3 linked regions of the Saccharomyces cerevisiae S288C genome follow. The gene in region 3 interacts genetically with the main gene of each other region. Each region holds a gene or a part of one and is shown on either strand. Other genes may lie near its edges.

Evidence for each region.
Region 1: mutations in PUB1 (region 3) and ASK10 together harm fitness more than expected from each alone (negative genetic interaction), as found in Saccharomyces cerevisiae (2 studies listed by BioGRID).
Region 2: mutations in PUB1 (region 3) and REC114 together harm fitness more than expected from each alone (negative genetic interaction), as found in Saccharomyces cerevisiae (2 studies listed by BioGRID).

Annotation. Positions count from the first base shown.
Region 1 is NC_001139.9:676,708-684,894, reverse strand, and holds ASK10 (Ask10p), read right to left. Parts: upstream 6,201-8,187; coding exon 2,760-6,200; downstream 1-2,759. Other genes in the region: ESP1 (separase), read left to right, coding at 1-2,329; thiamine transporter TPC1, read right to left, coding at 7,330-8,187. UniProt on the Saccharomyces cerevisiae protein: Positive regulator of FPS1 glycerol channel required for the glycerol efflux. As a component of the RNA polymerase II holoenzyme, is required for SSN8 destruction in response to oxidative stress but not heat shock.
Region 2 is NC_001145.3:534,159-540,368, reverse strand, and holds REC114 (Rec114p), read right to left. Parts: upstream 4,163-6,210; coding exon 2,921-4,162; intron 2,805-2,920; coding exon 2,760-2,804; downstream 1-2,759. Other genes in the region: glucose-induced degradation complex subunit GID8, read left to right, coding at 313-1,680; ERG29 (Erg29p), read right to left, coding at 1,818-2,531; JLP2 (Jlp2p), read left to right, coding at 4,799-5,425; ribosome biosynthesis protein RRB1, read left to right, coding at 5,671-6,210. UniProt on the Saccharomyces cerevisiae protein: Required for the production of double-strand breaks (DSBs) in meiotic recombination initiation; not required for mitosis. Plays a role in activation of the DSB nuclease SPO11 at recombination hotspots.
Region 3 is NC_001146.8:599,536-607,546, forward strand, and holds PUB1 (Pub1p), read left to right. Parts: upstream 1-3,371; coding exon 3,372-4,733; downstream 4,734-8,011. Other genes in the region: YNL018C (uncharacterized protein), read right to left, coding at 401-2,239; PBI2 (Pbi2p), read left to right, coding at 5,849-6,076; HEF3 (translation elongation factor EF-3), read left to right, coding at 6,784-8,011. UniProt on the Saccharomyces cerevisiae protein: May be associated with hnRNA within the nucleus and remains associated during nucleocytoplasmic mRNA transport, once the proteins are in the cytoplasm, disassembly of PUB1-RNA complexes may occur prior to PAB1 binding and formation of a translationally competent RNP complex.

The DNA of each region.
Region 1 (8,187 bases), on a different chromosome or scaffold from region 3:
AATTATTTCTGACTTAGAGGAACCTATTATCGTCTACAGATGTCTGCATTTTCTTCACAGATACTATATGATTACAGAGCAAACCTGTCTTCAAAATATAACTTTGGGAAAAGCCAATAAGGCATTTGATTATCTTGATGCTGAGGCAGACATTACAAGTTTGACAATGTTTCTGTATGATAATAAGGAATTTGTAAAGTTAGAGCAGTCGTTGGTCCTATATTTCGGTGACCAGCTAGAAAAAACATTCCTACCTAATTTGTGGAAGCTTCACTTGGGTAAGGATATTGACGACAGCATTTGTCTGTCCGAATATATGCCCAAAAATGTAATCAATAGAGTACACAATATGTGGCAAAAAGTAATGAGCCAATTGGAGGAAGATCCTTTCTTCAAAGGTATGTTTGAATCTACCCTTGGGATTCCCTCTTCTCTGCCTGTTATTCCTAGCACGATGCCCAACAACATTTTAAAAACTCCTTCCAAGCATAGTACAGGATTGAAGCTTTGCGATTCACCAAGATCGTCGAGCATGACGCCTAGAGGTAAGAATATAAGACAGAAATTTGATAGAATTGCTGCTATTAGTAAATTAAAACAGATGAAAGAACTTTTGGAGAGTTTGAAACTAGACACATTAGATAATCACGAACTGTCCAAAATTTCCTCCCTTTCTTCATTAACTCTGACTATCCTTTCAAACATAACTAGTATCCATAATGCTGAGAGTAGTTTGATAACTAATTTTTCGCTAACTGACTTGCCAAGGCATATGCCTTTGTTATTCGATAAGGTATTGAATAATATTGATAATAAAAATTACCGAGAATTTCGCGTTTCATCACTAATAGCTCCGAACAATATATCCACAATTACAGAGAGTATTAGAGTATCTGCCGCCCAGAAGGACTTAATGGAGAGCAACCTTAATATTAATGTTATAACTATTGACTTCTGTCCCATAACTGGAAATTTACTTCTATCCAAATTAGAACCGCGACGTAAGAGAAGGACGCATTTAAGGCTACCGCTAATACGATCTAATTCAAGAGACCTCGACGAAGTTCATCTCTCATTTCCGGAGGCTACAAAAAAACTACTTTCTATTATCAATGAAAGCAACCAAACGACGTCAGTGGAAGTTACCAACAAGATTAAAACAAGAGAAGAAAGAAAATCTTGGTGGACCACAAGATATGATTTGGATAAAAGAATGCAACAATTGTTGAATAACATTGAAAATAGTTGGTTCAATGGCGTTCAAGGGTTTTTTAGCCCTGAAGTAGTCGACAACTCGTTATTTGAAAAATTTAAAGATAAATTTTACGAAATTCTGCATCAAAATCTTCCTTCCAGAAAACTCTATGGCAATCCGGCAATGTTTATAAAAGTTGAAGATTGGGTAATCGAATTGTTCTTGAAACTTAATCCGCAAGAAATCGATTTTCTTTCGAAGATGGAAGACCTGATATACTTTGTTCTTGATATTCTTCTCTTCCATGGTGAAGAAAATGCTTACGACGAAATTGATTTCAGCATGCTTCACGTGCAGTTAGAAGAGCAAATAAAGAAATATAGGGCAACTATGACAACTAATAGTATATTTCATACATTTTTAGTCGTTAGCAGTTCATGCCATTTATTCCCTTGGGAGTGTCTTTCATTTTTGAAAGATTTGTCTATCACACGTGTTCCGTCCTATGTTTGTCTGAATAAACTTTTATCGCGTTTCCATTACCAACTACCCCTTCAAGTAACTATTGAGGACAACATTAGTATGATATTAAATCCGAACGGAGATTTGTCCAGGACTGAATCTAAATTCAAGGGTATGTTCCAAAAAATAATCGATGCAAAACCTTCCTCTCAATTAGTGATGAACGAGAAGCCGGAAGAGGAAACACTTTTGAAAATGCTGCAAAATTCTAACTTATTCGTTTATATAGGGCATGGCGGAGGTGAACAATATGTAAGGAGTAAGGAGATTAAGAAATGCACCAAAATTGCCCCCAGCTTTTTACTGGGCTGCTCTTCAGCAGCGATGAAATATTACGGCAAGTTAGAACCTACTGGAACAATCTATACTTATTTGCTGGGAGGATGCCCTATGGTACTAGGTAATCTGTGGGATGTAACTGACAAAGATATTGATAAATTTAGCGAGGAACTTTTTGAAAAGATGGGATTTCGCTGTAATACTGACGATTTGAATGGTAATAGCCTATCTGTTTCATATGCCGTCTCTAAATCTAGAGGTGTATGCCATCTACGTTACTTGAACGGCGCAGCTCCTGTTATTTATGGGTTACCGATCAAGTTCGTATCATAATTGTTACATGTACTGGCTGTTTCGAAAAGATTTCATATAGGCATTGAGAAAAAGCATGGGAAATCCGATTTTGTTCTTATATCCAAAAATAATAAGTAAAAGAACCTGGGATTGATAAAAAAGTTTCATCTTTTTAGTATAGTTCATAATAGTAATTTTCATTTCATTATTGGGCACCTCATGGTGCGATACAAATATTTTAAGATTGCTTATATAATCACGAACACCTTTACGTACCATCCCAAACTACCACACAGTTGTTAGTTCACATACCATTGACACAAAGTCATAGCAGGAATTAAAAACACGAAACATCTATATTCTATAGGAGTTGCATTATAAAAATATGAATAAAAAACGGTGCTTAGAAAATAAACGGCGAACCATACAGGCTGTTTCTCAAAAGAGAACAAAAGTTAAGGCGTAACAATTAAGAATAAATCGACTGGTTTAGCTTTATAGTATCATTATTAGTTGAATCACCATCATCTTCTTGAATTCCACCACTCATAAATTGGTTAGTCATTAGATTACCACCGTGATTTGCACCCTTTTTTGAAAACATTAAACTATTCAAAGAACTAAATGATACGTTTTTCTTGTGCTTTCGGATAGGATGCACCCTAGAAGCTGTTGAACTAGAGGTAGTCAAATTTTGGGCGCTATTATTGCCCCGTTTATAGAAAGCAGGGTGCGCATGAGTCTTTTCAGCAGTCAAACAAGGAACATTGCCTGTGCTGTTCGTTTTCTTTAAGGTTTGGTATGGTGATTCGCGGTTGATCGTTGTGACGGACGAATTCATGGTAGGTGAAGAAGGTGCTGTAGCAGACTGATCGGCAGCAACAGTTTTAACATTTTGGTTATTGACCATCACCTTAGGTACAACGGGAGCGTTCGCTGTAATTGAATTACCTGCAGATGTACTTCTCATCGCTGTGACATTAACACTTGAACTTGAAGTTCTTGATAAAGGTTGCATTTGTAAAGGTTGCTGTTGTTGTCGTATTTGGTCGTCATTATAACATGGGCTAGAGCCTTCAGAGTTTCTCTGGGTGTAATTATTATTGTTGTTGTTCCCATGAAGCGGAATGGCAAAATAACCGCCTGAGCTGGATTCTGAATTAGAGCTACCTGGAGAATTCACTGGTAGGGATAGGGATGTGTATGAAAATCCAGGTAGGGAACTTGTTTGTGAAATATTTCTTTGGTGGCGCAAATTAGTTGTTGGATTAGTATTATTATTTGCTGTTGATTGTTGGAGCATCATCCCATTACTCGTTATTGATACAGCCGGGTTATACCCATTATACATGCTTTGAGGTCTTGAGCCCGATGAATAAGAAGGAGTTGTGTTACCTGAAGTGGCCATGTAGTCAGAGTATTGGTGCGGAGATTGTGCAGGTCTTCTTTCCACCGTAATCAAATTGCCATAATCGTCAATAGCAGGTGTATTAACCTTGGATCTAAAACCATTTCCATCAAAATCTGCTAGTGAATTGTTCTGAATATGAATATACTGAGGTTTCTCCGCCCTGCCCTTTAGGTTGACGGACGTCGTAGTACCGTCTTGTAATGTGAATGTGCTATCTGTTAAACAAGGTGTATGGGAACCTATGTTCACGCTGTTTCTTGACATATGTCCCGCCTTGAATCGGTGTGATTTCATCACACGGTCTTCGATAAACTTAATTCTATCTTTAGTGTCATTGAAGCTCGTTAAATTTTTCAAATCTTGGACCCAACGTTTAAAATGTTTCAATTCCTCTTCAGAAGGCTCTGGAGATACTATTTTAAAGGTCCAAGTCACATAATTGTTCGATTCCTTTTGAGCTGCAGCGTAAAATTGGTCCAGTTCACTTGATTTCGTATTCTTATTTTTGGGCTTACTTCCCTTCAAAAACTTGTGGAATGGGGCTTTTGAAAATATTTTTGCAGTCTCGTGGCCATATTTTGGTAAAGACGCTTGTGAAGAGCCAGATAAATAAGTGCTAGAGCTAGATTTTCTAACATCAGCGTTTTCATTAAGAGTGGGTTTACCTACAAGAACAAATTTGGTGGAAGATGCATCCTTTAAGGTACAATCATTTAGCGGAATACTCATAATCGGTGCCAAATAGCTCTTTTTGCGAATACCGCGAATACCATTTGCACCAGCTGTACCACCAGTTGTCGTACTGCTGTTATGTACATCACTAGCCTGGCGATGATGATTGTTAGCTTTGGCATTATTAGCATTGGCATAAGTGTCTGCAATGGAAACGGAAGAAGAATAAGCTGAAGACTTCGTGGAGTTAGGGGTAGAAGAAGATAGGTTATAAAAATCGCTACTCTGGAATTCATGAATATAGTTTGATGTTAGAACAAAATATCCTTGGTGGTAAGTGGGCAACAATTCCGATTTCTTCAAAAAATAACCTGCCTTAATACACTTGGCCAGTGGGGATTTCATGTGGGGATAAATAACGTCGGAAACTTTTCTTGGTGGTGGTATAGGATCGTTGGATTTCCAATTGAGTAGACAGGACGGATGCTGTGTGACAAAATTATCCCATTCAAATGCAGGAGGCTTTGATATTATACCATGTTGTAGTTCTTGGCACATATTTTTGATCATTAGACGAGCTTCGGAGTCAATTAAAGCAGAATAACGCAACAAAGCATGCTGGATTTTGGTGTATATAATTTTTTCTAATTGCAAACCTGAACTCTGTAAATTGATGAACGCTTCTTGCAAGTAAGTTTCTTCGGCAACTTGACGTTTGAGTTGTAAGTCTAGTTGCAGTTTCAAAAGATATGGATCATGTTTTGGATCCAATTTATGTGGCTTCTTATTAGTAGGAGATGCTCTATCGTTGCCAATACCATGCGCGTTCATGAATTTTACAGCTGCGATGTATTTTTTCAATAGTTGACTTGTTAGCTGAATATGTGCTCCGATGTTTGTTTTGAAATCACCATGAAGGTCCTTAATTTCCGTAATTTTATATCTTAAATCTTTTCTCAATTCCTCCAATTTAGGAATGACGGTGGACGTAATCTCTTTAGAGATCTTAAATTGCTGGTTAGCCAACGAAAGATGGTACTTCTTCAAAATGACCTGGATGTCTTGAATCGAGCCTGAACCGAACTTAACAAAACCGGATGCGGCAGATGTATTGTCCGACTCTGTGGTCTGGACAGGCTTGTATTCATGAGGCGCCAAACTCATTTTACTTTCATCTGTGGGAGCCTGCACTGCATTTTCCTGCTGTTCCTGTTGCATTTGCATCTGAAATTGTTCGCTGTCAGTCAGGCCAACTTTCTTCTGCGCAGGCTGCGCTTTCTTAGGGCCTCTAGGAGCCGTTGTGAATGGATCCGTAATGGTATTTGTGGTTTCATCAATATCAGTCAAAAATGGAAATTTCACAGATCCTTTCAGTTGGTAATTGATCCGTGCGAACTGTTCTTGCGCATACGCGACTTCCCTCAAGTAAATCACTAACCCTTTCAGAATTTTTTTCCATTTATAAAACCTGTCTACAAGGATGTCGGTGGGATACTCCTTAACAAACTGCCCATCGATAGCTTCATCACCTGCAAGGGGCTTCTTCGTTTCCGTAGTAGAGGTTGGCTGAGCCTTTGGTATAGGGACGTTTATGAAGTAGGGAGATCTCTCATCTGTTTCAGGCAAAATAAACTCCTTTGCCTGATTGTTTGCCACTATGGAGGAAACACTTTCGTTCAAGGTCATCGAATCAGGTAAGATGTCCATCAAGTACTGCGAGCTCTTCGAGTGGATGGAGGAGGCGTCATCGCCGCCACCACCGCCAGATGGCTTATTGCCCATCGGCGTGAGCGTTTGCGAAGGTCTGGAACTAAAGTAATCAGACATTAGTTTGAGCCCAGTTTTGTCCTATTTCTAATGCACTCTCGTTGTGTTTGGTAGAAGAGGTGTTAAAAAACAGAAATTTTCGGTCGTTATAGTATAGATAGTTTAGTTTGTAACTACGCTGTCTTTCCTTATTCTTGTACGCTTCGCCCTAGTTCCTGTGAAAAAAGCTTTCTGTAGTAGCGTTATTTTTAGATTTCAAGATAGGAGAAGAATGGTTATTTTCGACAATGAAGATGAAGAAGGGCAGCGCTGTTTGAAGGGAAAGGGAATGCAAGACTAGGAAATATGGATTCAGCTAGCACATTTATGAGTAAGGGGAGGTGTTATTCAGTGCAAAAACTAGTGAAAAAAAAAAATAGGAAAAAAGATAAAGAGATGACAGAAAGCTAAACGCTTACAAGAAAAATGATGGATCGTAAACACGCAATCCAACAAATCGGCGGTGATGGTGATGATGAATCATCTCCGGAGGTTTGAAACTTAGAATCTGACATTTTTTCCCGCTTATTTTTGCGATTTTTTTTTTTGGTAGGATCAGGCGAGGTTGAACATCTCCCACGTTTCTCATTTCTTGGCTATTAAGGAGCCAAGAAATGAGAAAAGGCGAAAAAAAAAAAAAAAAAAGAAAAAAAAAAGTGTAAGTATGCCACATCTAAGAAGGGTGGCTACCACAAGGGTGCAGAGATTGCAGCAGTCCTTGCTTTCTTCAATTTTACTACTTCTTGTTACTCCTAGTCCGTGTGCTTGCGCAGATGTAAGTTGTGTTGAAACAACAAGCAGATGTAGTGGTCCCTGACGCTGGTTCCATCGGAAGATCCGATTCATTGTTTCCTTCTCTCCCTTCCCCGCTGACTGAGCGGAAAAAAAGATAAAAAAAAGAAGAAAAACCGGTGCGGGGCAGCAGGCAACTAAGAAAAACCGGAAAAAGGGTTGGCGTCAGATCGCTAGCAACGAGATTCCTCTTTTTTTTTCGATTTTTTGTTATTAGAGGAAGACGGCGCGACTGAGTCAGGCCGTAATCGGAATGGAAAACCGGGCGGCTACCGATCTTTGTCAGTGAAGAATATAAGATATGATGATTTCGTATATGTATATGAGTGTGTACATGTGACAAAAAAGATTGGAAACTTTAGTACATCCGCAAATAATGGATGGCAGTTTCATACCCCCAGAAACTCACAAAAGTGGTGGGTATTGTCTTGGAAAGGGCCACCAGAATACCTCTGTAAAGCGAACTCACACCTTCTTGTTTCAAAATCTGTAAACCGATTCTTGCGAATCCGTACCCTTTATAAGAACCGTATACAGACGAATGACGGGAGAACTTTTCCAGATGCTTCGAATTCATGAACTGCATTCGCCTACGGATCGTTTCGAGGGGGAAAGTAATGATCTTAGCAATGACGCCGCCAATGGTACCAGCGCTGTGATTTAAAGTAGCCAGTTCCCATTTTTTATGCGCGGCGGTCGTTTTTTCGTTTTCGTCACAGTATATCCTGATTGTTTCGTATGTTCCGAACATTATAGATGCGGTTAGAGTTATGGTTGTCATTGACGCGATGGAGCCCTTGAAAAATCCGGGGAGACCTTCTAGTTTCCAGATATCACGCACTTCTCTCGTGATGCTCATTGAGTGCATCTGGTTGTTGGCAACTAGTCGGGTCCGTAAAACATCGAACGGGTAGGAAACGATGGAACTGGTTATGCCAGCAAAGGCTCCGACAACAAGACTATGTAAGCGCGCCTCTAGTCCAAATGGAGTTAAATATCTATTAAAAAGGGAGTATGAACTAAACTGCGCTGAGCCATAGGTAACGTACAGCAAAGAACCGGGTATGTTACCCTTCCAAAAGGACCGGATGCCTTCGTTCTTTATCATGCTTCTGGCCACCTCCATGACCTGACTTCCGAAGGGCTTCAGCCCATTTGCAGGGGTCAATTGCAATCTGATCTTAATGGTATCCATGGGAGCAGTTATGCTACGGGC
Region 2 (6,210 bases), on a different chromosome or scaffold from region 3:
TGTTTTTCGCTCGGCTTGGGTTTGTGTGTACGGCCCTTTTTGGGATCCCGGAGTTTATTTGACTGTTGTCCGGATCCGTTCCGAGTGAATGGTAATCGCTCCATTGTGTTGCTGTTTATCACTATCAGTGTCGATCTCGCTTTCCTGACTCTGCCGGCGCGGTGCCCCGGTTCGTTGCAGGAGACATTTTGATGGTACATCATTTTTCTTGAAGCTAACATGTGTAATTTGGTCATTAAATTGCAAGCAAAGGGGCAGTAGAGACAAATATCAGCCGGATGAAGATATATTTGTGTGTGGTAACAAATAGAAATGACTATATCTACTCTTAGTAACGAGACCACGAAGAGCGGATCTTGCAGCGGCCAAGGCAAGAATGGTGGGAAAGACTTTACGTATGGAAAGAAGTGCTTCACGAAGGAAGAATGGAAGGAGCAGGTGGCCAAGTATTCTGCCATGGGCGAGCTATATGCAAATAAGACAATACATTATCCGCTGAAAATTCAGCCCAACAGCAGTGGCGGCTCGCAGGACGAGGGATTTGCTACCATACAGACCACACCCATAGAGCCCACACTGCCACGGCTTCTGTTGAACTACTTTGTTTCTATGGCATATGAAGACTCGAGCATTAGGATGGCCAAGGAGCTGGGATTTATACGGAACAACAAAGACATTGCGGTTTTCAATGATTTGTACAAGATCAAGGAGCGTTTCCATATCAAACATCTTATTAAGCTGGGGCGTATCAATGAGGCGATGGAGGAGATAAACTCTATCTTCGGGCTGGAGGTGCTGGAAGAGACTTTCAATGCTACGGGAAGTTATACGGGTAGAACTGACAGGCAGCAGCAGCAGCAGCAGCAGCAGTTTGACATAGATGGAGATTTACACTTCAAACTGCTGTTACTGAATTTGATCGAGATGATAAGAAGTCACCATCAACAGGAGAACATCACCAAGGATTCCAACGACTTTATACTCAATCTAATTCAGTATTCTCAAAATAAACTTGCAATAAAGGCTTCGTCAAGTGTCAAAAAGATGCAAGAGTTAGAATTAGCAATGACTCTGCTGCTTTTCCCCTTGTCAGATTCGGCGGACAGCGGCAGCATTAAGCTGCCCAAATCGTTACAAAATCTGTACTCGATATCTCTAAGATCTAAGATAGCAGATCTGGTTAATGAGAAGCTGCTGAAGTTTATTCATCCAAGGATTCAATTTGAGATCAGCAATAATAATTCCAAATTTCCAGATTTGTTAAATTCCGACAAGAAAATAATTACGCAGAACTTCACGGTGTATAACAACAATCTCGTCAATGGTTCAAATGGTACAAAAATAACTCACATTTCGTCTGACCAACCTATCAACGAAAAGATGTCAAGCAACGAGGTCACGGCTGCTGCTAATTCAGTTTGGCTAAATCAAAGGGATGGAAATGTTGGCACAGGTTCAGCGGCGACAACTTTTCATAACTTAGAAAATAAAAATTACTGGAATCAAACTTCTGAATTGCTTTCCTCTTCAAATGGAAAGGAAAAAGGTTTAGAATTCAATAATTACTACTCTTCCGAATTTCCCTATGAACCAAGATTGACGCAGATAATGAAACTGTGGTGTTGGTGCGAAAATCAGCTTCATCACAACCAAATAGGGGTTCCTAGGGTCGAAAACTGACATACATAGTACGTATATATTTATATATGTGTGTGTGCGTGTGCATGTGTGAGTGAGTGTGTGTGTGTGTGTGTGTGTGTGCCTACCTGCATGTATGCATTTAGCAATTGATTTTTCTTTTTTTTTTTTGGAAGCTTTCATAGTATGAATTCGCATTTTATCGTGTTTCCCGTATCAATCTTCAGGAAACATAATTGAACATCATCGATATTCAATGGCAGTAGTTCATCTTTATGATTGTAAATTTTGACACCGTTGGAAATCGTAAACTTTCTTGCCCCTTCACCGCCCTCATTCTTAATTATATCGCGATATATTTCGCAATCTTTAAAGTAGTGGTAAAGTCTCAGCCTCAATACACGCAAGGTAGTACCAAACTCAGGTCTTTTTTCATTTTCATAATCCTCTGGAGAAAATTCAACATGAAATTTTAATGGGGTGGACAGAAGTTCTTTCCCATCTACAATAACATTACATTCGACATCCAATTCTGATACAAACACAGGTTTTGCAAAAAACTTATCGCGATCTTCGAACTCTTCAATAACAATACCGCTTTTCTCGTCTTTGTATTCTTTACCGTGATATTCATCACTCACCAACATCCGATGAAGCTTCAGACTTTCATCGATTCTTCCACGCTCTAGTTCTTCTGATGTGTTCTTTTGTAGAAGACTCATTTCGATCGTTATATACAGTTCGTTAAAAAATGCAAGCGTACCAACCACTATCAAAAAGAGAGTTATCCTACCACTTATTCGATCATGGATAAATTGATGAACATATGGCAACTCCTGTAGTTTATTTATTAATTTTAATTCGAGATTTAGATACCTATCCTTTAACGACATACCGGCCTTTGGTTCTTTTTCTATACCACACTTTGCTATAAACACTTCCAAGTATATTGCAGATTTGCGATGTGATTCAATTTTTATAATGCTTTATATTTTGTTTTTTTTTCATAAAGGCTTACTTAAACGAGCTTGCTCTTCTTGCTTAGCGATATTGCCGAAACTCGGGTTTACTTTTCCATTTTACTTCGTGGCTAGTGTAAAAAGGAATTGCAAAAAAAGGGTTCACTTTTCGAACATTTTATTGAGAACCGTTTCAACCTTATTAACCTTTTCATTCATATTTGTAGTGGCAAAAGTTGTTAGTTAGTATTTCTTTGTCAAGTCAGAGAAAATGAGTGGATAAGAGGGGGAAACAGCTCAGTTTCTTGCAAATGCATACATACCCATTTCATGAATTCTTCGTCTTTCAACTTTTCCTTGATTAGCCGCTTAGATATTTTTCTTGACGCATTCCGATTAACGTTTTTAACTCTTATCGTTAATCCTTCGCTTGGCGATGCTTCTTTCCTCGTTTCATTAAGTGTGCCGTTAGGTAGCACTTCTTTATTTCTATCAGGGGTATGTGTATTTCCAGATTTTTGGGGGTTTGTTAGTTTATCATCAATATTTTTCTTATTACTGGTATTTTTCTTCGCCGTGTTGTCTTTCCCGGGGCTCCATATAATCGTTGGTGTTGCATCTAAACCAGTGACGCTTTGCATCTGACTTTCCCTTTCCTTTGGTATATGAATAGTTTCTAATAAACCAGTTTTACACAGAGCAATCTCCTTTCTTGAAGTAAAATCAGAAGTGGTGTCGACTTTTTTCTTTTTGTTTTCTGCATTAGGAAGGCAGTTGGTAGTGTTTGGTGGAGATTGAGAAACCTCCAATGGCTGTACAATTAGCGACTCAGGACGACCCAAAACAGTTTGCGTAGCCATTGGAGTGTTGAGGTCTTGTGAAGATTGTACTACATTTAAATCCGTGTTTGGCCATATTTGTTGAGCTATTTGAATGCTGTCGTGTGGTAAAGTTATATTTGAACGATTATTTGACTCTCTTTCAGATTCTTCCTGATAACGTTGACTGAAATCCATAATCATGTTTTGAGTTTGAAATTGCGTGTTCGGATTTGTGTAGCTACTAACTTTTGGACCTTCTGTGAAACAGACCTTTGTACCGTTATTATTGCCTTGCACCTGGCTTGTTATTGTACTCTGGGCTATTGATGTCCTAGCTGTCCTTAAAACAAAATTAAGGTTCTTTAAAGAAACTACAGTCCTGTTGAACTCAACGTCATTTGGCAAATTCATCTGAAACCTCCTTAACATTCTGGGTCCGAATTCTTCGGAGATATATTTACAAGAGATTATGGGGCTTTTACATGAAAATTGTATTAAATCTTGATTATCCCCCAGCGGCAGGCGAATATTTTCGAGAAGTGTTGAATTATTGAGAACCACATTGATCAGAATTTGTCTAGAGTCCATTAGAAGAACCCGAAATTGGAGAGTGCAGTTAGCGGAAAGGTGTTGCCACTTGTCTATCTGAGGAGGCTCAAGCATTGATTGAAAACCATTTGGAGCGAAGGAGGGAATTGTATACTTGGAGTATTTCTTTATTACAACTGAGCAGTACTCGTACATTTTTCTCTTTTTTTTTATTTTAGTTCTCTCTTTCAAACTTAACTTGACGATATGTTAAAACCTTCTCCTTTGCTTTTTATAAGTTAGCCGCCCACCTTGTAACGAAATTCTCTATTAGTAAAAAAAAGTTGATATTCTTTCAGGAACCCACCAAAATGGGCTTCGTATTTAAGTATGTATTAATAATTTATGTTATTATTATTTAAAATACTGAATACTTTAACAGTCATTTAAGTGTTTATGAATATGCAGACGGTAAACTGAATTTTATTTTATTCCTACAAAATCACATCGTAGAACATATAAGTAGTCATTACATCTATAAAAAAATTAACAGTGGTTTGAAAACATTCGTTGTGCTCGATCAATCATTTGAAAAGAGACTTCTTATTTTTTCTGAATGCTAGATGCTATTTACTTTCATCTTTTATACTCTTAATTTATATTTAGTTTAGGATATAGATTATCCTAGGCTTTAATATTTTAATGGAAAAAAACTACAATAAGATTGAAACAAAGAACTTGGATAAAAAAACAAAACAACTCTGTAGACCAGAGGACTGCCTTATACTTAAAATTTAGAAAGTAAGCGAATAGAATTATAAGGCTCAATTGAAATTCAACTTTTCAATAACAATGGTGTATTTCTATGAATCAAAACCAACTGAGTATTCAACACCTTACCAAATTGTGATGGGCAAAGATAAGTTTGAAAACGATCTACTTATCAAATGGAGCTATAGGGAGTTAAACTATGTTTGGTTTCACGCGGATAAGTACTCAAGTGGTCATGTTTATTTAAAGTTACGCCCAAATGAAAAAACAATCGATGACATACCGCAAGAAGTGATATGTGACTGTCTGCAGCTATGTAAATCAGAATCCATTCAAGGAAACAAAATGCCACAATGCACCATCTTGATAACACCATGGCATAACTTGAGAAAAAACAGGTATATGAATCCCGGTGAAGTATCATTTAAGTCTCTAAGACAATGTAGAAAAATGGAATGCGGAGCACGAGATAACAAAATACTAAACAGACTGGCCAAGACAAGGGTAGAACTATTTAATAATGTGGAAGCTACACTTAACGAAGCAAAGAAGACCAAAAATGGTGATTTTTTTGTAAACTATATTGAGTCGAATAGATCAAATCTTATTGAAGAAGAAAAGCTAAGGAAAGTAGCGAAAAAAAACCAAAAGAAGAAGAACAAACAGTCTAAAGATGAGGTTACTGACGATATGCAACTGGAAGTATGATATCATCTACATAACGTAGACGCTTCAAAATAGAGTACCATTTGTACTTACATCGTGATCACGTTTCTTTTTTCGTTCGAGCCGTGAAAATTTTTTTCCTTTCAGCGAAAAATACAGAAAATAAAATCCAACTGAATTTAGCGATGAGATGATCATTTCTTATAGGGATTGTAGTTGTTTGAATTTGTAGGTAAATAGTTATATCACCTACTCTCCGTTTTCATATACACGGAAATAGCACCATAATGTCGAAAAGGTCTATCGAGGTCAACGAGGAACAAGATAGAGTGGTCTCTGCTAAAACAGAATCTCACTCTGTTCCTGCTATTCCCGCCTCTGAAGAGCAAGATGCTCCCAAGAATGACCTAGAAGAACAATTGAGTGATGAATTTGATAGTGATGGTGAAATTATTGAAATTGATGGCGATGATGAGATTAATGACGAAGATGACCTTAGGAAAAAGCAAGAAGAAGCTGAAACTTTAGTACAAAAGGACCAATCCGAAGGCAACAAAGAAAAGATCCAGGAGCTTTACTTACCCCATATGTCTCGTCCATTAGGGCCAGATGAAGTCCTTGAGGCTGATCCCACTGTTTATGAAATGCTACATAATGTCAATATGCCATGGCCATGCTTGACATTAGATGTCATTCCAGATACACTAGGTTCTGAACGTAGAAACTATCCACAGTCTATTTTGTTGACCACGGCTACTCAATCTTCCAGGAAAAAGGAGAATGAACTAATGGTTCTAGCACTTTCTAATTTAGCGAAAACACTTTTG
Region 3 (8,011 bases):
TCTGTGGCAGATGTTGTGAATAGGCGCCTTTATTTTAAGGGTCCAGTGATCCGCGATGTGAATAAATACGCGCGCCTCTCTCGAAGGAACCTTCTGGGGCTGCTTCTGTCGATAAGAAAGCTTGGCAAAGGCCTTACTTGGCATTTAAGTAAAGCCTTTGCTTTACTGCTTCTTTCCCGCCTTTTTGGTGCATTGGGTTAATTGATGAATATGCGTAAAATTTAAATCAGACTATGAAAACATATATAACAACTATTACAAGAGAGGTGGTAGTCTACTTGAAGAGGCGCGCCAGAAGAAAACGGTGGTAAGTACGAAGTTATGTGTAGACTAACTTGCTTGTTAAAAAGTATTTGGTCAGCCGTGCCAAACAGTTCGAACTATCAGAACTTCTGACGGTTCACTGATGTACAAAAGTTGAGAGCCATTTTCGTAACCAGCTTTTTGTCCCACGCTCAGAAGGATGCATTGGTACGGTCACTTCGATATTCCTTCTTTGTGAGTGGAGCCAGAGCTTTTTATTAGTTTTTAGTTCAGTTGCTGTGCGAGACTCACGAACAAGTAGCAGCCGGCATGGTTTAGATGGTTCTGGCACGGTAAGCTGAGGAGCGCTATTATTATTGCGGGTACTACAGTCATTAGAAGATGGAATGGATTCCTTGCATATGTCTATCAGTGCCTGAAACGCCCTCTCAATGAGGGAGGTGTCAGGACTCAAAATTAAGGATTGTTCGGCGGGATGCGGTAAGCCTTCGTATACTAGGTTGTTGGACGGAAAAATCTGATACGGCTTGATCTGAATGTTAGGATCGACCTTACTGTCTAAAGTATCGAGAGTGATGTTTCCTTTTCGGTTTAAAGACTTCTTCTCGCCGACATCGAGAGAAAAATGAATGTGATCAAGAACCAGATCTATTTCTCTTTGTGTGTTTTTCCAGGGACAAGAAATGGAGTAGGGCTCAATCCTCTGGAAACCTTCGTATTTGTATTGGTATGAATAAAAACGGCACTCTGCTTCCTCCATAAGTTGGTCGTAGCTGGGCATTGTATCGAAGTTGAAGGGTCTCTTCCAGAATGGAATACTTTTATTTGAAGGGTTGTAGTACCTTCTGGGCTCAGATTGTTCGTCTAAAAGCAGGTATTGAACAGCTATCATCTTGCGCTCAAATTTAAATTCGAGGGAATCGTAGTCAATGTTCTTTGTACTTCTCAGAAAGAGTGGACAGTATTTTCCCATTTTGCTTTCAAACCAGTTCTGTGGCCTGTCAAGGTACTGTTGCATGTATGAAGGAACTACAGTAGTCAACGTGTGGTTAGACTGGGAAAATTCCGCTGTGGACACGACGCTGCAGCTTATATTTTGATTGCAGGGAGCAGGAGCGCAGGCATCTTGTTTAGATTTTCGGCTTGGATAATGTTTGTGGTGATCAGTGGAATTTGTTGGGCAGTAAATTTCAGTTGGAATGATAGATTCATTCGTCTCTTTTGTTCTGGAGTCCTTGGTGCGGCGGAAATCAAAGCAAGTCACTTCTGCGTTAAGCGATGCGAAATTGCCGTCTGGAAATGACGATATGTGTGGAGAATGAGGAGGATTCCATGACGAATAAACTGATGAGGATGTGCTAACAGATGAGGTTAGTGAGGGTACCGATTCGTTGTTTTCTGATGCAGAGTCTGTTGTGGGAGATGTGGTAGCGTTATTTCTTTGCACAAGAGAAGATGGGAGCATAGCACGGTTGTGGGAGGAGGAAGAAAACATCACGTTGCAAGTATCGTTTACGGAGTGGGATAAGAGGTAGGAGGTTGTCATAGCGGTGCTTTCTTCCTGATGCATGGCAGAAGAAGTTGGCAGTAATTCGTTTATTATGGTGACATTGTCGTGATTAGAAAGGACTGTCTCTTTTACCATTGCCTCGGGTATGTTTTTTGGCGCCTGCCTTGAACTTACTCCAGAACAAGCCTCAGCAGAAGAATGACCGGAATGATTCCTCTTATACACGTTCCAGAGTGGAGCATTCTTGACATCATAAAAAAAGTTGCTGACAGGATCTTTGGACTGGTTGACGTTAAGTGGTTCCGTAGCTGGTCTGATGTTTTCTTGTACGGTATCACTGACGGCTGAGAAACCTTCAGAGGAACCGTTTTCGGGAACAGACTTGGAGGATTGCAAATTAAGCCATTGAAAGTCTAGCCCAACCTTGTTGCAGAAGGCCTTGAACTCCTGGAAAGATGTAGACATTATGTGGGCGAAAAACAAAATTAGACCAACGCTTTAGCAAATTTTTTCAACCTCAAATTGATATTTGAAGATTAGATCGGATGGTTTTTTTTCCTGTGGTGTAGGCCAAGCTTAAACAAGGTTTTAAGTGAAAGTGGAAATAATTGTGATAAACATGCGGAAAGAGTGCCAGCCTTAAATAATTCCGCATTGTTGCTATGTCGTTTTGTTTTTGTTTTTGTTTTCGTCTTATTGGTATTTGTTCATTTTACGACCACAAAGGATCCAGGGCTTCTACTTGCACAGGGAGGGTTGCTTGGTTAATACAATGCAAAGGTCAGAGATATTAAGATTTGTGAAGGGTGCATTCAATGAGTTTTTCCTTTAATGTGCCCTAGAAAGGAAGTAGTACGAACATTTCTCAGTCGGAGTTTGCCGGAAATTCGAATGACAGTGTAAGTTGATTTTTGTGGCACAGAGATAATGAGCGGTGGTTCTGGCACACATTTGTGACGTTGGTTTGATAGTGTGGAGGGAGGGTGAAAAACAGATAACAATGGTCTCTTGGCCCAGTTGGTTAAGGCACCGTGCTAATAACGCGGGGATCAGCGGTTCGATCCCGCTAGAGACCATTCTTTTTTTACATTTCTCGCAATGTGATTTATTTTGCTTACCCTTCCCACTGCCGTTACAAGGGAGGTGAACGAAGAGGCTTGTTAGCATAAGGTTTACGCGTTGCGGTTGTAAGCACAATGTTCTTACTAAACCTCTGAAGATTAATTATCCTAACGTATACTAATTAATTCAAAGAGAATATTTACTCGTTCTCTTTTCATCATTTTGTAACATAATTCTTTACGTATTTTCACTTCGTACTTTTTTCAACTTTTTTTGCCTTCGCTTCTTTTTTGTTGTAATTTTTCAATTTTTTTTTTTCATCGTTGGCCGTCTTTCCTTGTCCTTCATTTTCCTCTCGTAATAATCATTCAACTACGGTAAAGCATGCCTTTCCTTTTTTCTACTCTGCAGTTATTTTCATAATATCTACTGTTTCCATTTCGTGCTTTAAGTTAGAGTTTAATCTTCCCTTCTATCATCTTAATAGCAGGTTCATAATAAGAAGATTACCACATCTACTCTTTGTTCGATTCCAATGTCTGAAAATAACGAAGAACAACATCAACAACAACAACAACAGCAACCTGTTGCCGTCGAAACTCCCTCGGCAGTTGAAGCTCCAGCATCAGCAGATCCTTCTTCTGAACAGAGCGTCGCTGTCGAAGGCAATTCTGAACAAGCTGAAGACAATCAGGGTGAAAATGATCCTTCCGTAGTTCCTGCTAATGCTATTACCGGTGGTAGGGAAACTTCCGATAGAGTTTTATATGTTGGTAACCTAGACAAAGCTATCACCGAAGACATTTTAAAGCAATATTTCCAAGTTGGCGGACCAATTGCTAACATCAAAATCATGATCGATAAGAATAATAAGAACGTCAATTACGCTTTTGTTGAATACCATCAATCTCACGATGCCAATATTGCCTTACAAACATTGAACGGCAAACAAATTGAAAACAACATTGTCAAAATCAACTGGGCCTTCCAATCCCAACAGAGTTCCTCCGATGATACATTTAACTTGTTTGTCGGTGATTTGAATGTTAATGTTGATGACGAAACTTTAAGGAATGCCTTCAAAGACTTCCCATCCTACTTGAGTGGTCATGTTATGTGGGACATGCAAACTGGTAGTTCAAGAGGTTACGGTTTTGTTTCCTTTACTTCTCAAGATGATGCACAAAATGCCATGGACAGCATGCAAGGTCAAGATTTGAATGGTAGACCGCTAAGAATCAACTGGGCTGCTAAGCGTGATAACAATAACAATAATAATTATCAACAGCGTCGTAACTACGGTAACAACAACCGTGGTGGTTTCCGTCAATATAACAGTAACAACAATAACAACATGAATATGGGGATGAATATGAACATGAATATGAATATGAACAACAGCAGGGGCATGCCACCAAGTTCAATGGGAATGCCAATTGGCGCCATGCCATTACCATCTCAAGGCCAACCCCAACAATCCCAGACCATTGGTTTACCTCCTCAAGTAAATCCTCAAGCTGTTGACCACATCATTAGAAGTGCCCCACCAAGAGTTACTACTGCCTATATCGGTAATATTCCGCACTTTGCCACTGAAGCTGATTTAATTCCGTTGTTCCAGAACTTCGGTTTTATTTTAGATTTCAAGCACTATCCAGAAAAGGGCTGTTGCTTCATAAAGTATGACACTCATGAACAGGCCGCTGTTTGTATTGTTGCCTTGGCAAACTTCCCATTTCAAGGCAGAAACTTGAGAACCGGTTGGGGTAAGGAAAGATCAAATTTTATGCCACAGCAGCAGCAACAGGGCGGTCAGCCACTTATAATGAATGACCAACAACAACCGGTTATGTCTGAGCAACAACAGCAACAGCAGCAACAGCAGCAACAACAATAAATATTATGAAGAAAAGTGGAATGAAACAAAAAGAAAGAATAAAGAGAGGCAACCTACAAATCCCAAGATAAAATAAAAAAAGAACGACAAGAATCCATTCATTATATTATACTATTTTTAAAAAAAAAATTACTACGAAAAAGGGAGAGAAAAAGAAGAAGAAACTCAATTTACTATTGCTCGAAAAATAAAAGGGCCTATAAACTTACTCTATTTTTTTAGTTTTTCTGTGTCTTATTTCCTTCCTTCGTCACTGTTTAATTTTTAATACTATTATTTTCCTTTAAAATGTGAAAGTCATTGCTAATAGTGTGATAAAAATAAAGAACGTATTTTCTGAAGGCTTTCTTTATTATATTTCCTTTTTCCTTTCTTACCCTATTTTTTTTAAACATCCATCCCACTGTATTTTGTCGAGTCCATATATATAATTTTTGTTTTTATTTTTTACAACTTTTGTTAAGTATATAAAAATGCTACCTAGCGTTATGGAGACATGTCAGTCTTGAGTCCAGGCACATAAAGGCAACAGCCACTACCACTGCGCACCCGTGACGCTGCTCCAACGTTCTCATTAAGTACGGAACTGTGTTTCGAACAAAAGAATGGCTGTTAAGACCAAAAAAAAGGCAGCTTAACAGGAACCCGGCTGGTTCCACAGGACTTTTCTTTCTTTAGGGAAAGGTTGTGAAAATGACAACCAAAAAGTCGCGACGCCAAATATCAAAAACCTAGATGATATTACTTCGTCTGCCAAACACCTCCTTTCCCTCTATCCAGCCCTTATTTTTTTTCCAAGAGCTTCATATGCACGCCCGAATCATTTCGAATCGCGTACGTGGCAGGTTGTGGCTGGCATCTTTCCCAAAAGGAAACGGACCAATACCACGCATCCCCGAGCTCTTGGTCTTTCTTTATCTTGCATAGCCCAAAAAATAAAATGGGGCGGGAAAAAGGGGGCATATCAGAGCATCGGGAACTTCTTTCAATGCAATATATATGGCACATATAAAAAATTCTGGCTTCATTATGTTAGGTGCAGAGATTCCGTTTAGACCAATTGAACGGTAACCAGAAGGTAATCTTAAATATACAAACAAAAAACAAGGTCCATAATGACAAAGAATTTCATCGTCACTTTGAAAAAGAACACTCCAGATGTGGAAGCTAAGAAGTTCTTGGATTCAGTTCATCACGCAGGTGGCTCTATTGTACACGAATTCGACATCATTAAAGGGTACACCATCAAGGTACCAGATGTTCTCCACTTGAACAAGTTGAAGGAAAAGCACAATGATGTCATCGAGAACGTCGAAGAAGACAAAGAAGTTCATACAAATTGATTCCTGAGATAAACGCAAACACTTTTTTACTCGGAAATTTTCTCTCCCCGATTGTAAATTTATTTCTCGTCTACTATAATAATTCACCAAAAAACAGCAGAGCACGTCCTATATATATATATATATATATATATATATATACATATATATATACGAATATATTTATGACAGTCTAAATCGTTGCTCCTGTTCAATTTTAACGCTCTTTTATAACTGCTGTGGCGCCATTTCTTTGGCATCTAAGATGTGTCTCGGGACTTTCTTTTTCTGGTCATCTTGCTTTCCTTGCCTTGTCATTAACAGAGCTAAACTGTGTTGAGGAAGTGGTCTTTTAAATTTTCAAGGTCGCGGCCCGTGCATTGCGCGGCTGGATGTCTTTTAGGGGAGCGATGCGCTTGCACAAAAGAATAGCCTTGATTTCCGCTATTAATGGGTATATTCTTCTAACAATTTGAGTTTTTTCTCCACTTGTTTCTTTCTTCTTTCTCTTTTCCATTCACATTTTGCTTTACTTTTCTGGATAATATATATGTGCATATATATATATCCATTTAAATATATATATATATATATCTTTTGTCCTCCTCTCCAGTTACTTTTGCGCCAGAAATTCCTTCTTCTTTTCAATCTAATAGAGAAGGGTAGATAGTGTGGTGCAAAAAAAGAGCCTTTTAAACCAAAAATAAATAAAAAAAAGGAATCACAAAATGTCAGATTCACAACAATCAATCACCGTTCTAGAAGAGCTTTTCCGAAAGTTGGAAACTGCTACTTCAGAAACAAGAGAGGGTATTTCTTCGGAGCTTTCCTCATTTTTAAACGGGAACATCATCGAGCATGACGTTCCCGAAGTTTTTTTTGATGAATTTCAAAAAGCTATCCAGAGTAAACAAAAGGCGCTCAACACGCTGGGTGCGGTGGCTTACATAGCAAATGAAACTAATCTATCACCTTCTGTTGAACCGTACATAGTTGCGACGGTCCCTTCTGTATGCAGTAAAGCTGGTAGTAAAGATAATGATGTTCAACTTGCGGCAACAAAGGCCCTCAAAGCCATCGCTAGTGCTGTTAACCCGGTTGCCGTTAAAGCACTCTTACCTCATTTGATTCATTCGCTGGAAACTAGCAACAAGTGGAAAGAGAAGGTTGCTGTTCTCGAAGTAATCTCTGTATTGGTAGATGCCGCTAAAGAACAGATTGCCTTAAGAATGCCGGAACTAATTCCCGTTCTTTCGGAATCCATGTGGGACACTAAGAAAGGAGTTAAGGAGGCGGCAACGACAACCATCACAAAGGCAACTGAAACTGTTGATAATAAGGATATTGAGAGATTTATTCCAAAATTAATCGAATGTATTGCAAATCCAAATGAGGTGCCTGAAACCGTTCATCTCTTGGGTGCAACTACTTTTGTAGCCGAAGTAACTCCAGCGACTTTGTCTATTATGGTTCCTTTATTGAGCAGAGGTTTAGCCGAGAGAGAAACCTCTATAAAACGTAAAGCTGCGGTTATTATCGATAATATGTGTAAATTGGTTGAAGACCCGCAAGTTGTTGCTCCATTCTTAGGTAAACTACTACCAGGGCTAAAGAACAATTTTGCTACTATTGCTGATCCTGAAGCGCGTGAAGTTACATTAAAAGCTTTAAAAACCCTGAGACGTGTGGGTAATGTCGGGGAAGATGATGTGTTACCAGAAATATCGCATGCTGGTGATGTTTCCACAACACTGGGCGTCATCAAGGAATTACTGGAACCTGAAAAAGTGGCCCCAAGGTTCACCATTGTGGTTGAGTACATAGCCGCGATTGCCGCAAATCTAATTGATGAAAGGATCATTGATCAGCAAACGTGGTTTACACATGTTACACCTTATATGACTATATTTTTACATGAGAAAACTGCAAAGGAAATACTAGACGATTTCAGGAAAA